Linked DNA regions of Schizosaccharomyces pombe. The protein of the gene in region 4 interacts with the protein of the main gene of each other region in a pairwise test. Each region holds a gene or a part of one and is shown on either strand. Other genes may lie near its edges.

Evidence for each region.
Region 1: the proteins of nup211 (region 4) and rmn1 interact in a two-hybrid assay, tested with the Schizosaccharomyces pombe proteins (one large-scale study listed by BioGRID).
Region 2: the proteins of nup211 (region 4) and saf4 interact in a two-hybrid assay, tested with the Schizosaccharomyces pombe proteins (one large-scale study listed by BioGRID).
Region 3: the proteins of nup211 (region 4) and pre9 interact in a two-hybrid assay, tested with the Schizosaccharomyces pombe proteins (one large-scale study listed by BioGRID).

Annotation. Positions count from the first base shown.
Region 1 is NC_003423.3:488,194-492,737, forward strand, and holds rmn1 (MTREC (exosome adaptor) complex RNA-binding subunit Rmn1), read left to right. Parts: upstream 1-1,662; 5' UTR 1,663-1,688; coding exon 1,689-1,718; exon of another isoform or gene 1,719-1,756; coding exon 1,757-1,794; exon of another isoform or gene 1,795-1,884; coding exon 1,885-3,427; intron 3,428-3,481; coding exon 3,482-3,640; 3' UTR 3,641-3,968; downstream 3,969-4,544. Other genes in the region: protein phosphatase regulator Nem2, read left to right, coding at 37-579; idh2 (isocitrate dehydrogenase (NAD+) subunit 2), read right to left, coding at 3,969-4,075, 4,126-4,544.
Region 2 is NC_003423.3:1,786,075-1,790,665, reverse strand, and holds saf4 (splicing-associated factor Saf4), read left to right. Parts: upstream 1-1,619; coding exon 1,620-1,880; exon of another isoform or gene 1,881-1,925; coding exon 1,926-2,174; exon of another isoform or gene 2,175-2,229; coding exon 2,230-2,619; 3' UTR 2,620-2,748; coding exon of another isoform or gene 2,749-3,023; 3' UTR 3,024-3,058; downstream 3,059-4,591. Other genes in the region: PPR repeat-containing protein Ppr2, read left to right, coding at 1-1,282; SPOM_SPBC18H10.09 (zf-CHY type zinc finger protein), read right to left, coding at 2,749-3,023, 3,059-4,188, 4,252-4,334; ubiquitin hydrolase Ubp4, read left to right, coding at 4,418-4,525, 4,586-4,591.
Region 3 is NC_003424.3:423,390-426,787, reverse strand, and holds pre9 (proteasome core particle subunit alpha 3), read left to right. Parts: upstream 1-1,548; 5' UTR 1,549-1,564; coding exon 1,565-2,311; 3' UTR 2,312-2,862; downstream 2,863-3,398. Other genes in the region: splicing-associated factor Dre4, read right to left, coding at 1-424, 466-682, 719-758; RhoGEF Gef2, read right to left, coding at 2,885-3,398.
Region 4 is NC_003421.2:1,563,961-1,571,602, forward strand, and holds nup211 (nucleoporin nup211), read left to right. Parts: upstream 1-1,589; 5' UTR 1,590-1,681; coding exon 1,682-7,195; 3' UTR 7,196-7,290; downstream 7,291-7,642. Other genes in the region: 3-hydroxy-3-methylglutaryl-CoA reductase Hmg1, read left to right, coding at 1-1,187. UniProt on the Schizosaccharomyces pombe protein: Functions as a component of the nuclear pore complex (NPC).

The DNA.
Region 1 (4,544 bases), on a different chromosome or scaffold from region 4:
TTTTTCCTACGTATTGTTAAGAGTGAATAAAATGCCATGTCCTCTTATGTGCCCAACACCCTGTCCGTATATCACAACTTGTTAATTTTAGAGGCATCGTTTCGGAAAACATACCTACAGCTTCAAGTTCGTCGTCAAAAGTATATGGCTTTCTATGTCTCACTATTGGTGTGGAACTTTTACTTTGGCTATCGCGTCTTTTATCGCATCTCAAAATACTCGTTGATTGATTTGACTTACAAACTTTGTCTTTTATGCGGAATTGTTACACTTTTGCTCTTTTATTTTTCTGGATTGTATCGGACTACAATAGTATATCCATCACGTTATGTTCAACAAGTCAACAAAGCGATGAGGTTTTTTAACATTCGCCTTGTTATAACTCCTGTCCCGTGGTTCCAGGTGAGAAAGCCTTTGGATTGTGGTGTCCATCTTATATTATCAAGCAAACGATTTGACATATTGGTGATCGAAGGTTGGGAAGCTTTTCGTTCTTCATATTTTGCTTCAATACATAGAAAAAACAATAGCATACAGAGTAACGAGTCCTCTGAATCTCCTTCTTCTAAACAGAACTAGATTTACTTATACCCTTATCCTATTTATAAAGGATGCGATCGTTTATTTCCTTTTCAACGTTGTTAATGCTTTTCATGTTTATACTGTTCTAGTATTTGTCATTTTTCATAACGTAAATTTTGATTAAAATTTTCAGCTATTTTTTTTTTTGCTATCCGTTGTTGCTGGCGCCTTTCGCTATATTATTGATCAGTTATTGTCGTTATACTTTTATTACATACTTACCCGATTTGAATTTATTAGGATACTTTTAAGGACATTTCCTTTTATGTTGGGATATGAGATTGCTTTACAGACCCACTGAAATAGGATTTATCGTTGGATAATTAAAAAAAGGATGTTGATGATTCATTACACATCTTGATCATTTACTTGCCTCATCTTAATTGGAAGGGTTTAAATAAAGGCTTAATTGAAAGTTGCTGTCACTTAACTTCCTTATCTTGTTCTGTCAACTTAAACTATTATCTTTCATTCCCGACTTATAATCTTTCTTTTCTTTCTACATCACCTTTTTTTTTAAAAAATGGGTAAAAAGCGTTTTCGCATGTACATAAGCAAAACTTCTTCTCTTCTTATGTAGAGACTTCCTTTTTTTTTAATTTTCAACTTACTCATGCGGACTATACCGGACGTTCATTAGCTCTCTTGACGAGTTAGGTTTTCAAATAATTTAATATAAATGTAATCACTCCACCGTTAAAATTAACTATTTATAAGTGGTGCTAAAATATAAAAAAGTGCATATAGCTAACACGTTTACTCACTGTTGTGCTGACAATTTAATCAATGAAATAATTGGAGACAAGTGAACTCTTTCGAAACTCTCATAATCGTCAGAGTTTGACTTAAAATACATTGTATATTAGTAGTCTAAATACGAGTAATATTATGCAAACCTTCCTATTCCTTATCTAATGTCGACTACTCAGTTAAATTTTATCCCAGCCAATTGCCCTAGCTAAGACATTTGTTATTATTTTGGTATTATGTTTATTCTTTTTGAACTTTCTGGCTAATTGTTAAAGATTTTACCTTATGTGATCTATATTTTCTTACTGGCTCAACCATGCGTAACGCTCCAACAACCAGCACTTTGCTCCATCACAATGCCGTTGTTCTTAGAAGAACATGCTGAGGTAATTTTATTTTTAAGATGCCGAATTAACGCTTTTAGTATTTGAAAAGATATTTAGAACAGGCGTTGGAGCCAATGTATGTAATTTTTTTTGAGTTGCCAATTTGCGTGATTTTTTTTTTTACACGCTAAAAAATTGTTTATCAATATGCTAACGAAATGACTAGTTCTGATGCTGATGCAAGTGTTTTATCAGATTATGCTATGGCATTGTTAAGGCACGATTCTTCTGAAGAAGAAGTTCGCCAGTTATGCTACTCACAACTAGAAGATTTTTTGCGACAGGAGACAATTCCTTTTGTTGATAAAATTTTTGATGTTTTACGTGAAAAATCTTACTTGGAGGGTGCTTCAAATATGCCGTCAACCGGTATGGTGACTGAAGAAGTTTCAAGGTATTCGCCAACTTCATCAATGATCCCTGCCACCAACAGCATGGAAACCAATTTTAATAATTCTTTACCTGCTGTAGGAAAAACAAACACTTTTCCCTCTCAGGTGCCTAATATGTTTGGACCTCCGTTGTACCATCCAGCAGCCACAGCACCTTCTGAATTCATGCCCAGTATTCCTGGGTTTGGAAACTTACCAAATCCTGCAATGCCTCCCATACCATTCTTACCATTTAATCCTGCGGCGCAGCCTCCTTTCCCTCCCCCATTTAAGATGCGAGGTAAAAGAGGATTTGGCATGCGCCATGAGCATAATAGTGAACTTCGTAGGCATTCTCCTGGTAATCGAAGATTTAATCCATACAAAGCGTATCCCCAACCCCATCTGGGACATCGCTTCTCTCGTAACGCTGGCAATGATCCAACAAGTACTGCTTTAGAAGTGCGAAACATTCCGGAAGAGCATTTTAATGAGGAGAACATTAGGTCCTTTTTTTCAAAGTTCGGTGTATTGGAGAAAGTCGAATTAAATCCGACACATCATTCTTGTGTGTTAGAATTCACTTCCCATGAGGCTGCCAACAATGCTTGGTCCTCGCCTGAGCCCATATTTAACAATCGCTTTATTAAAATATTTTGGTATAATCCGTCAAAGGGATTTCACAATCGACCAAAGAAGTTTGCATCCCATAAATCTCCCACTACTTCCGATTCGTCGAATGTAGAGAGTTCTGAAGATGTCGATCCTGCTTCTTTGTTACAAAACGAAGAGTTTCATAAACTGATTGAAGAAAGGCAAAGGCAGCACGAAGAACGTTTAAAACGCATAAATGCTAATAAAAAGGCACTAGAAGAACTTAACCAAAAAAAGCGCGAGCTTGCACAGCAACAATTAAAAGAACAAGAGTTACTGATGCAAAAAATTAAGGAAACTGACCGTTCAGGAAACAAAAGACTCATGTTGTTAGAAACTCAGCATTCTCTTTTGAAGGCTGAGGCTGATTGCTTAGGGTTACCTGTGAGCAACGTTTCTGAAAGCCCAGCGGCATCTAATGGTTCTCATCATCCTTACGCTTCAGGACTTCCCCAGCGAGGTACCAACACATTTTTCCGTGGCAGAGGTCGCGGACGAGGTGATATGTTTGCGTCAATGTCCATCGATAATCGTCCAACTAAGCTTCGTGTAATAAATGTTTCTCCTGAAAAAAATGAAGCTTTGTTGCAATACTTATTCACTGTTGGAGGATATGAGGAAATTACTGAACCTTCAACTACTGAACGTCTTATCAGTTTTCAGAATAGAAATTCCGCTGAAAAGGTATGTAGCTGATTCTTTCTCTGACAGAAAAAATTTCAAGTTAACAAATTTTAGTTTTTTGGTGGAGTTCGGAACGTTGAAAAACTTCAAGAATTGGAGTTGGCGTGGGTGCCAAAAACAGCTGTTACAACTAATACTACATCCATGGAGACTGGCGAATCTAATACAAGCGACAACATGAACATAGAGGTAGAAGAAGGAAGATGGCGCTAGTTTATTTACTTTTACAAAAGTTTTTCAGAGAATGAATTAATGGGCTGCATTGTATGCGGCTGTCATAAAATATAAGCAACTAATTGATTAATCTTATAGAGTGCAATAAGCATTTCAAAAATGGAGATTTCATATTGAAATATTTGTAACTAACATTTCGATCAATTCGGTTTTTTGATACAAAAGAGTTAATGCTTCCGAATTACAACTCAAATCGTTACACAATTCATTAAAAGTGGTAACAAAAATCGGCTAGGAGAGAAAACTCATGATAAGGAAAGAAACATAAATTCAGTGTTCATAGCAAGAAGTAAACAAAATGGGCATGTTACTTCAGTTTAGAAATAATGGCATCGGTATATTGAACATTGTTTGACTTGCCGCCCAAATCCTTGGTGCGAGCATCGGGATTGTTTGCAAGGGTATCAAAGATAGCTAATGGTAATTAGTAAACAGACAAAATCTTAATTTAGTAAAACACATACCTGATTCGATGCGTTTGGCATAATCATTTAAATTCATGTGCTTCAACATCATTACAGAAGATAACAGTAAAGCAGTAGGGTTGGCTAAACCTTTTCCAGCAATATCAGGGGCAGTACCATGAACAGCTTCAAAGATGGAAGCTTGGTTGCCAATGTTTCCGGAAGGAGTCAAACCAAGACCGCCAATTAAACCAGCGCACATATCAGAAACAATATCACCGTATAAATTGGGCATAACCATAACTGTGTTGTTATAAGGGACAGGATCGGTGACAATCTTCAAGCAGGCGTTATCCAAGATTTCCTCCCTAAGCTCGATATCAGGATATTCAGGTGCAAGCTCCTTGGCGCATTCCAAAAATAAACCGTCAGCCATGCGCATAATGGTAGCCTTGTGGACTACGGTGATGTTGTTCTTG
Region 2 (4,591 bases), on a different chromosome or scaffold from region 4:
GACATTTCCGCGAAGGGCCTTTGTCGATTTGCTCCTAAACCGCTTCTGCTTGCGGGAATTTGCAACCACGTATAGTGTTTCAGTAAGTAATGCGCGGAAATTAGTACGAAAGCGCCTTTTAATCGCTGATGCTTTGAAATTCAAGGAGCAAGTCAACAATCTAAATGAGTTTCGAAATAAAAAAACTAAGTCATCCTTAATAAGAAACGATGGTTTCAAACTGGCTAAAAATGTATCTTCGTTACTTCAAAAAGAGTCTTTAGAGAAAGCATTGCATTTACTGTACGAGAGATCAAATGCCAAGAAGACGGTTGCCTATAACCTTGTACTACAATATCATTTAGCTAAAGGGCATTACAACGCTGCTTGGTCTTTGTACAATGATATGAAAAAGCGCCAACAAAAACCTAGCGATCATACATACTCCATTCTTCTAAAGGGATTTTGCGATGCTATTGAAAAGAATAAGCAAGGAAATTTTTCTAAACTACGTGAATATAGTGAAAAGGTAACAGCTAGTGCTCTCAAGGAGTCTAATAATGTCACATCCAATTTGCATCACATACGAATTATATCCAAGTGTAGTCTAAAGCTTAAAAGTATGGTATTGGTGTCAATGATTATTCCATCCATCAAACAAACATTGGATTTCTATAGTGGATCTCAAATTCTTCGACTTTTGAACGACTTTTCTATGTTCAATCCGGAACAACGTGAAGAAGTGTTAAAGATGGGGACGAATCTTTGGAATTATTTTGTCCTTGAATGCCAAAAGAAAGGAATAGCAGTTGATGAAAGTCTTATTTGTTCCTTTGTGAAACTTCTGGCTACTAGCAACTCGCCTCAAGTGAGAAACGTGGGGTTAAATATTCTTACAAAAGTGATGGGATTGGAATATCAGATTTTCGAAGATTCCAACTTGCGTTATCCTTTACCCCCATATTGCGATTGTACTTCAAGAAGTTTGGTTACAGCATTACAGGTCATTCGTCAAATACAAAACGGTGATTTGTTAGCAAGGTATTGGAAGTATTTTGAGGAAAGTCACAAATTTGATTTAAATCTTCAAGTATATCATGAGAAGCTACGTAACCTTGTTCAGCAGGGCCAAGCAGCTGAATGCTTAAATACCATTAAAAGGATGTCGCATAACGGTCCTTTCCCTACTCAGCAGACATTTTTGATTGTCTTATCATTATGCAAAAGGCCGAAATTTTATAGCTACACGAAAAGCTTCTTAGACTTGGCCAAGAAATTGAACGTCCCCGTTGAAGCAACCTAAAAATATCATCAAGTGTTTAATAATTCATCGATACCTTTTTATGTCATTTATAATTTTCTATTAATTTATAAGAAATGAATTCAAATAATCGTCATGTAATTTATTTATTTGTACATGTTTACCTTGTCCGTTTGAAACTGTAGAATGGAACCCTTATTATTTTAACGTCAATTTAGCAAACGTAATTTAAAATTGTTTGTTGAAAAGCCATGAATTAACTAAGAGTTATAATTATGTTTCTGTTGCATGCCACTGATTTAGCCTGAACTTCACCTAGACGTAGTATTAACTTAGGAACTACTGATTTTGGGCATAAAGAGCTATATACTCACTAAAAATGCAAGGATTTAATATGGGGAAATATATTCCCCCGGAAGGGCCGAATGCTAAAAGAAAATTTGATAAATTACGAAATGTAATTCGGTTTGAAATGCCATTTCCAGTGTGGTGCAACAATTGTGAAAATATCATTCAACAAGGCACTAGATTCAATGCTGTTAAAAAAGAGATTGGCTCATACTATACTACGAAAATATGGTCATTCAGCTTAAAATGTCATTTATGCTCAAACCCTATCGATGTACATACGGATCCTAAGGTACTGGTTTGATTAATTTAACAAATTTGTTACTGACATAAATAGAATACAGAATACATCGTTGCTTCTGGAGGCAGAAGGAAAATTGAACCTCAAGACATCAATGAACGTCCTGCAAAAGCTGAAAACGACGAAAAGGTGCCGTCTGATGCAATTGAAGCGCTGGAAACCCAATTAACTCAGCAAAAGTCAGAAAAGCATAATAGTTCTGTAATAAACTTTATATATGAGAAAAATGAAAGGCTTTGGTCGGATCCTTTCGTTTCTTCTCAGAGGCTGCGAAAACAGTTTCGGGTAAGAAGAATTTGTTTTGCGTTAAAATTTTCATATTAACTAACCCATAACTTAGGAAAGGAAAAAAATTGAAAAAAAGCAAGAAGCTAAAGATCTATCTCTCAAAAACCGTGCAGCGTTGGACATTGATATATTACCACCCTCTTCTTCTGACAAGGATAAGGCATTATTGTTGCTAGATAACGAATTAGGAAAGAATAAATTTATAAGGAAATTAGATTATAGAAGAACATTAATGCCCTCTTCTAGAACATTTTCGACTTTTGCAAAGTTTGCTGAGACTTCATTCGCAAAAAAAGATCCTTTTGCTCGAAAATTTGTCCCTTCCGAGAAGCTAAGGAGCGAGCAAAGGAAATTTCCTACAGAAAATTTAAAGGGAGAGAAAATCCTTGAAGATAATTCGGTTTCTCTCGTCAATTATGAAGTGAGTGATGATGAAGGATAATTATTTTGGTTAAATACGAAGACTTTAAAAGTATCTTCTATCAAAAGATTAACTACTTGTTATTCATTAAATTTTTATACAATATGGGTATCTAATGAAGCAAAAAAATATGGATGTCATGCAACCCAATTAATTACCGTGATGCTTCCTTTTGTACTTCCTTGGATCCTTCCTACTCATGCGAACGCGATCGCGCATTCCTTTTCCTCCCTCCCAGTAGGCACTGGTTTGTTTTTTCACAGTCATATTTCCACAATGGGGGCAAGTTGCATCCTTTTTGTAGAAAGATTCCATGGCACAGTACCCACATATTATTCGATTAGCATGCTCAAATGTATGATTTTGATCAGCGTCATGACATTCATCACATGGATAAACACGATCACAACATGAAAAACGAAACCCTGATTGTTAATTATGAATTTTATAAACGACTTACATCTGAATGATTTTTTGTAATGTTCGCAAGCACCATTATTGGGAAGTGGCAATCCTTTCGTAATGTTTAAGTTTTGTTTTTGCTTCTTTTTTGCGCTCACCTTCCCGCCCATTGAACTTTGTCGTTGTTTTAACAAATGAAATTCGGTATCTTGATGTTCAACCAAGATTCTGTTTTTGCATACTTTACAAAACTGTAGCATGGGCTGCATGGAAGAAATACCTTTAAAGGATGTTATCTGCTCATCAACACATTCCATACAAGAGACCTGACAGTCAATGGGCATCACGTCAACCGGTACACATCCTAAAGTATGGAGGATACCTAAACGGGCATTATTTGGGTGAATCACACCAGGCACCCAAACTAATCTTAGAGTATTACTACACTTATTGCAAACAAGAGAAAATTTTGTAGCAATAGAAATTTCACTTCCATAATGGCACCGAACACACTTTATGACCAAACGTAAAATTGGTGCTTTGAGAGTACCGACATTAGTTAAATGCGGATTCTTCCATTCTAAGCAGTATTCGTTACCCAGAAGCTCTGTGTCTTTGCTCTGAATGTCATGATCGTTACTGTAAGCATCCTGTGGTTCATTAACATTTTGTAGATCATCTTCTTTCCCATCGTTTCCTCCTTTTGAATAAATAATTTTTTTTGGCTTTTCATCATTGAATAACTGTTCAGAGCCAGAGATGGTAGTTTTTGTTTGGGTAGTATTCTGCTTTTGACAGTGATTTTGACCACGCAGTACTTCATAGTCAAGTGTAGTGTTCAAATGAACCCTCTCTGATAGAGGTCCTTCAAGCTTATTTGCCAACGGCTCTAAGTCAGTTGGGGTTTCTGGTTTCTTAGAATCGACTTGTTGAACCATCAACTCACGCTCTTTTGTATTGCATGTCTCAAATGATTTCCAATTTTGTAACAAATAATTAAATAAACTTGTCAAAGTTGTTTTCTGATTTTGAAATGCCGTTTCAACGTACTTATTCATTGCCGTTTGCATGAACTCTTGATTTTTTTCAAGTAATACCGATATTTGAAACGGTTTATCTTTATTTATAACTAAAGTAATCAATCCATGATCACTGGGCAAGGATAAGAAAATCTCATTTCTTGCCTCTCTGGTACTAGTTAATAAAGATGTTTACATTAACTAACCCACAGCTAACCTGCTTAGTACTTACATAACTTCCGGATTAAGCCTTCGCCGGAATACTTGTATCTGCAAGTCCCAATTTGAATCCTTCATAGCTTCAATTGAAACCATAATAACCAAAAAAGGCTATAGTCTTGTAGTATTTGGTTCAATTCAGGTTAAGTCGCCAACACAAATACTCGGTTCTTCCTCGGATGTCCGATGATTATTTCGACAGACTATTTGAATTAGCATTCGTTTATATTAATGAAGATGAAACGATTCAAAGCTGTTCCTTCAGAGGACAACGCTGGCTTGAAGAGGTATGTCTAATTTTTCCGTGCCGTTTATAGTAATGTGCTTCAATTACTAACAGTTTTGAGGCCCAA
Region 3 (3,398 bases), on a different chromosome or scaffold from region 4:
GGAAACTGTTTCATCATCCAATTGTTGAAGTTGATACATAATATCTTCCTCACCAAACTCCAACTCTTCAGCGGAGTGTGATTTTTCCTCATCCTCTTCTTCATCAGATTTTTCATAAAATTCTTCAGAATATAAAACGGATTCCTCCGATGATTCTTCTAAACCAGAGGGCTCTTCAATCTCTGTTTGTAAATGCCTAGATTCATGTATTTCTTCGTGGTTGGTTTTACCACTATCAACGTTCTGACTCTGTGAGGAATCTTTACTGATTTGCTTCCGTATCGGAAGACGTAATATCTTCAAGTCTTTACTAATTTCCAAAGGAGGTTCCCAATATGATTCATGGCTTTTTAAATTGTGAAAGAAATACCGATTTTTCTTAGTAAAAACAACCACCCATGAATCATTATTAGGAATTCTTTTTCTAAAAAAAAAGTTAATAACAAAATTTTACGCCTCACATACTTGAATTTTGGTCTGTCCGGTAATTGTTTCCTCAAATCTCGAGAATTTTTGCGCTCTTCAGCATTTTCATTAACAAACAGCTTTTCGCTTGTGTTAAACGCCAAAGAAGCTTGCGAAGCAGTAACAGAAGATGAATGGTTTTTCTCAATGAAACTTGGGCGCTGGTAAGTGCTTTTTTTTAACTCGGCATTCCAGTAATAAGGAATCCCACTGGGTGCTATGAGTTAGCAAATAAACTGCTCATTAAATTTACCTTTATGTTCAGTCCATCCAGGAGGCAAAGGCTGTGACATTAAGATATGTACAATCAAGAAGTTAAGTTCGACACTATGTTAGGTAGTATTCAGTGGGCGTGTGTGTGAGAATAGATAGAACAGTTTTGCAAAATCCAGCTGAATAGTTATGTCAATTACAAAAAAATTTCTACAAACTATTAAAAAAAATCTGTATAAATTGCATAAATTCATAGGTGTAGTTAACATTATTGAATATACTACAAAAACCTCATAACAGCACCGCACGTAGCGTCTTCCCAAGTATTTCCTTTAGAACAAATAAGAAGTTAATGAAATGGTCTACCAAGTACAATATAATAAAACATTTTCGAGAACTTCAATTTTAATATTGTCAATTTACAACAACCCGCATAAATTTACGAGCAATTCATAACTCGTGGTAAATCGTTAAACGGCAGGCTGGAAGTATTTGTAAGCAGCTACATTTTTACACTAGTATTGACTCCTCTGGTTCAAATATTTTTACAAGCAGATTTTAATTATTAGCAACCTACACTGATAACTTTATATCTTGAGGATATGAAAGTACTAAAGGTAAATTGATTATCGTAAAAATAGCTCTCATTTATAAAGACATTTGTTGTACAGCATAGCTTGTAAAAATAAGCGGATTAACAACATACTAATTTAAATCATAATAGATTAATTGTATTAGAAGACAGGTAAAAGTCAGTCCTGTTATAGTAGTGTAGTAAGCACATAAAGAATAAAGCAAGTGTGGTAATCGCACTTCGGTAGACCTCATTAATGTTCGTGATCTAGTGCTTCGCGCATTTTCGAACTTGTCATCAACCAAATTCATTATGTCAAGAAGCTACGATTCTCGCACGACTATTTTTTCACCTGAAGGTCGTTTATACCAGGTTGAATATGCATTGGAAGCGATCAACCATGCTGGCGTTGCTTTAGGGATTGTAGCTAAAGATGGAATTGTTTTAGCTGCTGAAAAGAAGGTTACCAGCAAACTATTAGAACAAGAAGAATCCGCAGAAAAGTTATATCATATAGGAGACAATATGTTATGTGCTGTGGCAGGGCTTACCGCAGATGCAAACATCCTAATTAACTACGCTAGAAGGGTTGGGCAACAATACTTGCAGACTTTTAATGAAGAGATGCCTTGTGAGCAATTAGTTCGTCGCGTTTGTGACCTCAAACAAGGTTATACACAGTATGGTGGGCTACGTCCATTCGGTGTTTCATTCTTATATGCTGGATGGGATCATATTCGTGGATATCAGCTATTCCAATCTAATCCATCTGGAAATTACGGAAGCTGGCAAGCAAATAGTATCGGAGGAAATAGTACTAGTGTTCAAAGCTTAATGCGACAGGAGTATAAGGATGATATAAACTTAGATGAGGCTTCTGCTATGGCCGTGAAATTTTTGAGTAAAACGTTGGACAGTAACTCCCTAACTCATGAAAAAATTGAATTTGCAACAATAACAAAGGATACCACGAAAAACAAAATGGTTTGCAAAATATGGAAGTCAGATGAAATAAATGAAGTGCTCAATAAGTACCAAGAGACCCAGCGGCAATCTTAATATTGCCTTACTCAATTCATTGGGAAAACACTTTAAGTGTATAGCTGTTTTTTATAGCTTTCGTCGTTACCCTTTAATCTCCTTGTAATTAGCTCATGGTTTTTGTAAACAATTTGAAGCAAACTAAGTTCCATCATGAGCCTTATTCCGTCTCAATATAGGCTTGCTTTCTTTTTATCTACGCTAAATCATTATCTTATGAATTCTTATGCCGTTTTAAAAAAGGCTTTTTTCAAGTTTCTTTTATACTTAGACCTTTCTTTCTCATTCCCTTCATAACGTCAATTTCTACTTGAGTACACCATTCCGGCATATTTAAAATTATAGTATTTCCAATGGAATGTCAATGACTCTCATATGTTCTAAACTATATGCTTAGTTTTCATAACTGAAGATTTTAAACGGTGTAGCATATTCCAATTCTATACTATTTATAAAAATAAGAGAAAACTTTTTGATGAGTATTATTAACTTTCACTTACATATTGAAGGATAAAAAAAATAACTATTGATATCTAAAAAAGGAATAGTAAAACAAATAATCTAATAATCGATGTAGTATAGACTAGTTGGCTATATAAATATGTTGGTTTGACAACCTTCCTTAGCGTTTAGCTTGGATTCATACTCTTCAAGAGTCCACTTTGCGGTATCTAGTTCACATTGTTTTCTAATTAAACTGGCTTGAACTGATTGCTTTATAAGCTTAAGATCATGGTTGAAGCGATCATACAACAGAGGGATAGACTTTTTAGAATCTTCATTTAATCGAGTCATTTGAGCCAACCTTGCAAGAGTCAGATGATATTTGCGTCGTAAATCCTCGTATGCCTCTCGTTCTATTTGACCAGGTAAAATTTCCTTAGGGTGTCTTTCCGGCATTTCTTTCATGGCAATTGCTTGGAATTTCGATTCATCTAACTGTTTATCATTATTGGAATTCGCAGGGGAAACCGGAGTCGGCAATTCCTCTACTGTTCCAAAAATGCGATCACTGTGGTATGCAAGGTAATAAACAAGTTCTACAGCATTACTTCCAAACATGGAAGGAGCCAAGGCAATTGCTAGTTGTTTCGTAACAAAATCA
Region 4 (7,642 bases):
CACTTGAAAGCTCTAATTGCCCCGTCTATCATTACGATTACTCTAGGGTTTTGAATGCATGTTGTGAAAACGTTATAGGTTACATGCCCTTGCCCCTTGGTGTAGCTGGTCCTCTCATTATTGACGGTAAGCCTTTTTATATCCCTATGGCTACTACTGAGGGTGCATTGGTTGCTTCTACTATGCGTGGATGCAAAGCTATTAACGCTGGTGGTGGTGCTGTTACTGTATTGACTCGTGATCAAATGTCCCGTGGACCATGTGTGGCTTTCCCGAATTTGACGCGCGCTGGTCGTGCTAAAATTTGGTTGGATAGCCCTGAAGGCCAAGAGGTTATGAAGAAGGCTTTTAACTCTACTAGCCGTTTTGCTAGACTTCAACATATTAAGACTGCTCTAGCTGGTACTCGTCTTTTCATCCGTTTCTGTACGTCTACCGGTGATGCTATGGGTATGAATATGATTTCCAAAGGTGTTGAGCATGCACTTGTAGTAATGAGCAATGACGCTGGTTTTGATGACATGCAAGTGATCAGTGTATCAGGGAATTATTGTACAGATAAGAAGCCTGCTGCTATTAATTGGATTGATGGTCGTGGTAAAAGTGTTATTGCTGAAGCTATTATTCCTGGTGATGCTGTCAAATCGGTATTGAAAACTACTGTTGAAGATTTGGTTAAATTAAATGTTGACAAAAACCTCATTGGTAGTGCTATGGCTGGCAGCGTTGGAGGATTTAATGCTCATGCTGCTAACATTGTCACGGCAGTATATTTAGCAACTGGTCAAGACCCTGCCCAAAATGTTGAAAGCAGTAATTGTATAACTTTGATGGATAATGTTGATGGTAACCTTCAGCTTAGCGTGTCAATGCCATCCATTGAAGTTGGAACAATTGGTGGTGGAACGGTTTTGGAACCGCAAGGTGCTATGCTTGACTTGCTCGGTGTGCGAGGTGCCCATATGACCTCTCCCGGTGATAATTCTCGTCAACTAGCACGTGTCGTTGCAGCCGCCGTAATGGCTGGTGAACTGTCTTTGTGTTCCGCACTTGCTAGTGGCCATTTAGTTAAATCCCATATCGGACTCAATCGAAGTGCGCTGAATACTCCTGCTATGGACTCTTCTGCCAAGAAACCAGCGACTGATGCTCTAAAATCCGTTAACTCTCGAGTACCGGGACGTTGAGGGAGCAAGCTTGTTTTATAATATTGTCACATACACGATGATGACAAATTTTTTTAATTTTGATCTCCCCTAAAAAGTTACATCTTTGAACTGTTATGCCTCAGGAAAATTAGCTTTAAATTCTTTTCCATTTTTTATATATTCATCTTTTAAAAGAATATGGTATATCCATACAAGTATGTAGTTTACCTAGTGAACGCTGATTTATAGCTTAGGTAAGAAGACGTAAGGCAATGTATATTGCTTATGTCTAGTGACACAAACAAATGGATTATATTATACGGACTTATATTAGTTATCTCAATAAAGAATTTAAATAGATTTTTAATTGTAATGGTTTTATGACTTGAAATTGAATTTATTAGGGTATCAACTACCTCGTCGCTACACACCCATCGACTTACATTGCACCACCATAATAGGTAAGAACGTGTTTCAAACAAAGGTAGCGTCTCTAAACTGAAAAAATAGTTAGAAGCTATTTGTTTGAGGCAATGCACGATTCTTCCTGGACAGAAGCTGATATACTCGGGGTATGCAGTTTTCTAGACATACCAAAGACAAAAATTGATCCTTTACTTCAGGTGGACGCGTTTACATCCATATTAATACCTTTAATTAGTAAAAGCAAAGATTATGAAAGTATAAAAAATGATCGTATAGTTACAGAAGTCAATTACGAGCAACAATTGCGAAATTCGGAGAAGAAACTACTTCAATCAAACGAACGTTACGATTTATTAGAGGATGAGCGCAAGCTTTTAGAGAATGAACTCTCTCAAATCAAAGAATATCTTAGGGAGAAATCCTCTTCATATGACACTGTTTTGCACGATTGCAGTTCTCTCAAAAGTGTAAATGAGGCATTAAAACAAGCTCAGGATCAAAATTTGAAGCAAACTGCTCAACTTCAAAATCTTTTATCAGATAAAGAAAAGGAAGTTGAAAAGAAAATCACTATCATTAAAGATCTAAAGGATGCCCTTGCCAGTTCTACCCATCAAGTTTTGGAGCTTCAACATACACAACAAGAAAAAGCATCTTTGCAGACTAACTATGAGTTTGAGTTGCAAAAATTAACGCAGAAAAATTCGATTTTGGAAAATAATAACACCTGGTTAAGCCGAGAGCTTCAGGGTGTGAACGACAAATTGTTATCTCTTCATCAGGAGGCCTCTTTGGAAAAGTCTCAACTAAGTTCTCAATTATCTGACGCTGTTTTGGAAAAAGATGCGCTACAACGGAAAGTGAGTTCTTTGTCTCAACAGTTTACAGAAAGTAATTTACGATATCAGAATATTGTAGCTGAACTCTCCGAAATGCGAAAGCAATATGAGTTTTCGCAAGTTTCTTTTGAAAAAGAGATTTCTTCACAAAAGCAAATTAGTGAGTTGTGGATGGAGAAATGTGAGGATTGCTCTTTACGGCTCAAAGAGTTGCAGAACTCAAACGGCGAGTTGGAAAAGCTATTGGAAGCTGCACAATCATCTTTTGAAGAACAGCTTGAATCTCATAAGGAAGCAGAAGCTTCCTTGAAATCTCAAATCAATTTTCTAGAGAAAGAGGTATCAAGTTTAGAGTCTCAGCTAAAGTTGGCTAATGAGCGTCTTCGGCATTATGATGAAATAGAAATCTCAGATATGAGTGAATTGAAATACTCAAATTTACTAAATAATAGTATGAAAGGCTTTAAAGGTCAGTCCTCCGTCTCTGACTTGTATTCCGAGCGTTTATACTATAAACAGAAGTATGAGCAAACATGTCAAGAGGTTGAAAGGTTACAACGTAGCTATAACCATGTTATGGAAGAAGCGAATCTTCAGCATCCTTTGGTTAAAGAACAGTTTAAGCGATTTGCTCATATGCAACGGGAAATTGTTGCAATGAGTGAGCAATATCAGAAGTCATTGGAAGACTGTCAGAAAGCCAAGTCCCGTTACGAGCAATTAGAGACACTATTTAAAGATAAATGCACAGAGAATAAGCATTATGAGCAAGAGACCAAAGATTTAGCGCGACAGGTGCAAGTTTTACTTCATGAACTCGATTTGTGTGAGAACGGCATAGTGCTAGGCGTGGATAGTAGAAAGAAGATTAACTCCTATGTTGAAAAATCGCTCACTGAAGATGAAACTGATACGGATCAAATAATTTCAAGCAGGCTAGTTGTATTTCGTAATATTAGAGAATTGCAACAACAAAATCAAAATCTACTGTCTGCAGTTCATGAATTAGCTGATCGTATGGAGAAAGACGAAAAACCTGATCTTGATGGAGCCGAGATTCAAGAAGAAACACTGATAAAAGCTAACGAAACTATTGATCAACTTACTAAAATGTTGGAGGAGGTGAGCGATCAGTTACGCTACTCTTTAAAGGAACGAGACTTTTTTAGATCACTAGTTCAAGAGAATGAAAAACTTTTAGATATGGCGCCTGCAACTCCTAATTCCAAATTGAATACTAATTTAATTGAGCAGACTTCTTACCAGCGTTCGCTTATTCGACTTGAACAGCTAACTAATGAACTGGAGTCCCTTAAGTCAATTTCTCGTAACAAAGAAAAAAAGTTTGAGGAAGCTATCTCATCTCTCCAGCTCGAAAAATCTAATATTCAATTGCAACTTACCTCTTTAACATCTGAACGAAGCTTAGCCCTTGAAAAGCTAAATGATCTGGAAAAATCACTTGTTTTATCTGAAAGAAGTAAAGATGAACTTGATGAAAGCTATAAGTCTTTACAAGAGCAACTTGCTTCTAAGAAAATTGAAGTTCAAAATGTTTCTTCTCAATTATCAATCTGTAATAGCCAGCTTGAACAATCCAATCATATTGTTGATAATTTAAAAAGCGAAAACCTGCTTTTAACTTCCGTCAAGGATAAGTTGAAAGCCGATTTATCTAATTTGGAGTCGAAACTTTCGTCCCTGCAGCAGGATAATTTCCATATGAAAGCTCAAATTGAATCTTCAAATCAAGAGTATACGGCAACAGTGGACTCAATGAATAGTCGAATACTTGAACTTTCTAATGATCTTCGAGTTGCTAATTCAAAGCTATCTGAGTGTTCCGATGATGTTCGTAGACTTACTCTACAAAATTCATTTGATTTGAGGGAGCATCAAACATTGGTGCTTCAACTTCAGTCTAACATCACTGAGTTAAAACAAGACATAACATTGCAACGCACCGTGCGAAATCAGTTAGAAATACAAACCACTGAGTTGAAAGAGCGCTTAAAGTTTATGGAAGAACGGCAGGAGAACTTGCAATCTAAATTAATCGCGGCTAATAAAGACACGACACAAAATCCTGATAATGTTGAAGTCGAGGCTATATCTATTGAACTGGAAAGGACGAAGGAAAAACTTCGCATGGCCGAGCTTGAAAAGAGTAATATTCAACAAAAATACCTCGCTTCAGAAAAAACCTTGGAAATGATGAATGAAACCCATGAGCAGTTTAAGCATCTAGTAGAATCTGAAATTAGCACAAGGGAAGAGAAAATTACGTCCCTTCGCTCTGAGTTGTTGGATCTTAATAAGAGAGTTGAAGTACTAAAAGAAGAGAAAGAGTCTTCGTCCAAGGAACTTGCCAAACAACTTGAGGATGCTGTTCGTGAAAAGGATAGTGCACTTTCTTTCAAAAAAGATTATGAAAAAATTCGTTCAGATGCGGATCGTGTTATTACCTCTTTGAAAGAAGATATTGAAAAAGAAAGATCTCTAATGAAGGAGTGTCATTCTAATTACGAATCAGAGATCGTTAGTCATGGGCGTACCACTCAAAAATTGCGGGATTTACGTACTGAATTTGACGAGGTGAATACGAAATATTTAAAGCTCAAAGCAAATTTTGAACAGCAGCACTCAGGACTTTCAGGTGCTGAAAAGGATTGGAATATTCAGCGGAAAGCCATGGAAGATGAAATTAGCTCCTTGAAAGATTACATTTTGGGACTTGAAAATCAAAATAAACTACTACATTCGCAATTTGATTCTCTTAGTCAACAAATAACTGTTCTTCAACAGAATTCTTCTGAAAATTTAAATATATCTGCCAATTTAGAAGCCGTTCAAGATAACGATTTACGTGAACTTGTTAGCTACTTGAGGCACGAAAAGGAAATAATGGATAATAAATATGAGTTAACAATTCTGGATAATAGAGGTTTGAATCAACAAGTCAAGTCTTTGCAATCCACCGTTGATTCATTGCAACTCGAGCTCAACCGTCTGCAGTCTCTGCCTGTGTCAAATGACCAAACAGATACCCCCATTATCAGCGGAAGTCAAGAAGTTCAGTTACTTTATGAAAGTAATAGTGTCCTTAGAAAGGACAATGATGCTAAACTTGGAAAAATACAAGAGCTGGAGAAAGAGGTTGAAAAACTGAATGCTTCATTGAATCCCTTACAAACTGAAATAAATGAACTTAAGGCAGAAATAGGCGCAAAGACAGCAAGTCTGAACTTAATGAAGGAATACAATTCTCGATGGAAATTAAGATTTCAGTCCGTTTTGAACAAGTATGAGCGTGTTGATCCCACACAGTTAGAGGAGTTAAAGAAAAATTGTGAAGCATTAGAAAAAGAAAAACAAGAGTTGGAAACGAAACTTCAGGAGACAGCAAAAGAAACCGATACATTTAAGCAACAGGTTAATTCTCTAAACGAAGAGGTGGAAAATTTGAAGAAGGAAGTTGAGCAGGCAAACACCAAAAATACTAGATTGGCAGCTGCTTGGAATGAAAAATGTGAAAATTTGAAAAAATCCAGCTTAACAAGATTTGCCCATCTAAAGCAGGAATTGACCAACAAAAACAAGGAGTTAACCTCTAAGAATGCTGAAAATGAAGCAATGCAAAAAGAAATAGAGTCTCTAAAGGATTCCAATCATCAATTACAAGAATCGGCTTCCAGTGATGCTGAACAGATCACGAAGGAACAATTTGAACAACTCAAGTCGGAGAAGGAAAGAACTGAAAAAGAGCTAGCAGATTCTAAGAACGAGCTAGAACACTTGCAATCTGAGGCTGTCGATGCTGACGGTAAAACTGAAATTTCAAATCTTGAAAAAGAAATTCATGAATTACGGTCTGACAAAGAAGGACTTGTGCAACAAGTACAAAACTTGAGTGCGGAATTGGCAGCTTTACGAGAGCATTCACCGACCCAAGGAAGTTTAGAGAATGCTGATGAGATTGCAAGGCTACGTTCACAACTTGAATCTACGAAACAATATTATGAAAAAGAAAAGGAAACCGAAATTTTGGCTGCTCGCTCTGAACTCGTCGCAGAGAAAGAAAAGACAAAGGAAGAGTTAGAAAATCAACTCAACGAAAAGTCACAGAGAATAAAGGAACTTGAGGAACAAGCTCAAAAAAATTCTTCGGAAAATACTCATGACAATATTGATGACATGATTAAGCAGCAGGTTGAAGAAAAGCTTAAAGAAAATTCTGCCAACTTTGATGTTAAGTTGAAGAAGGTGGTAGCTGAGACAGAATTTCGGAGCAAAGCTAAAATATCTGTGTATGAGAAGAAAACTAGGGATCTTCAGAACAAAATTACACAACTTGAAGAAACTATTGAGAATTTGAATAAACAGCTATCCAATCCTGAAAAGACTGATGAATCTACGTCTTCTGTAACAGAAACAAAGCCTGTTACTTCCAAACCAACAGCTAGCAAAGCTGATGTTGGTCAGAATGCTACAGAAGCTTCGTCAGCCAAGAGAGAACCTTCCGGTAAATCTCTGAGTGCAAGACTTCAAGGAACAGGCAAACAAAAAGGTGTTCAACGACCCGCTGTTTCGCGTCCTGTTCCTATGAAACCAGACAGTGGAAAACTCTCAATAACTGGAGCTTCCAAACGAATTGCTACTTCAAAGAATGCTGCCCAAAACGCTAAAGAACTGTCAAGCACTGCTAAATCCGGCTCCCTTAAAAGACAACGTGACGATGCGAACAAAGGAGGATCCAGTTCGAACCAAAAGAAAGCAAAATAGATGTTTTCATATGGTTCATAAATCACTCTTAGGACTATTCATATTTAGTTAACATGATTTATAATAATGACATGAGTAAATTTTGTATTATAAAATTTTTGTCTTATTTGTATTTCTGATTCTTACACAGACTGGTTTTTGCTATTTCTTGATTTTGCAAAGTAAGTACTTTTTCGACTTACTTATTCCATTATTATTAGAGATAAGATAAGAAATGCACGCTAAAAAGTAAATTCACTACTTAAAAATGTTACCACGACTATTTGCAGAAGTACAAATTCAGTCAAAATCTACATATGAGTAAGAGAACAAATGTCAAAACTAGAATAGTTAAATTTAAATGGATTGTTAGTCCATGATAATTACAGAGAATAAAGTGAACTAAAAAACTCGGTCTTAAACAAATTGCGATAACTTTATACAACAAAAAAGAGAAGGACCATCATT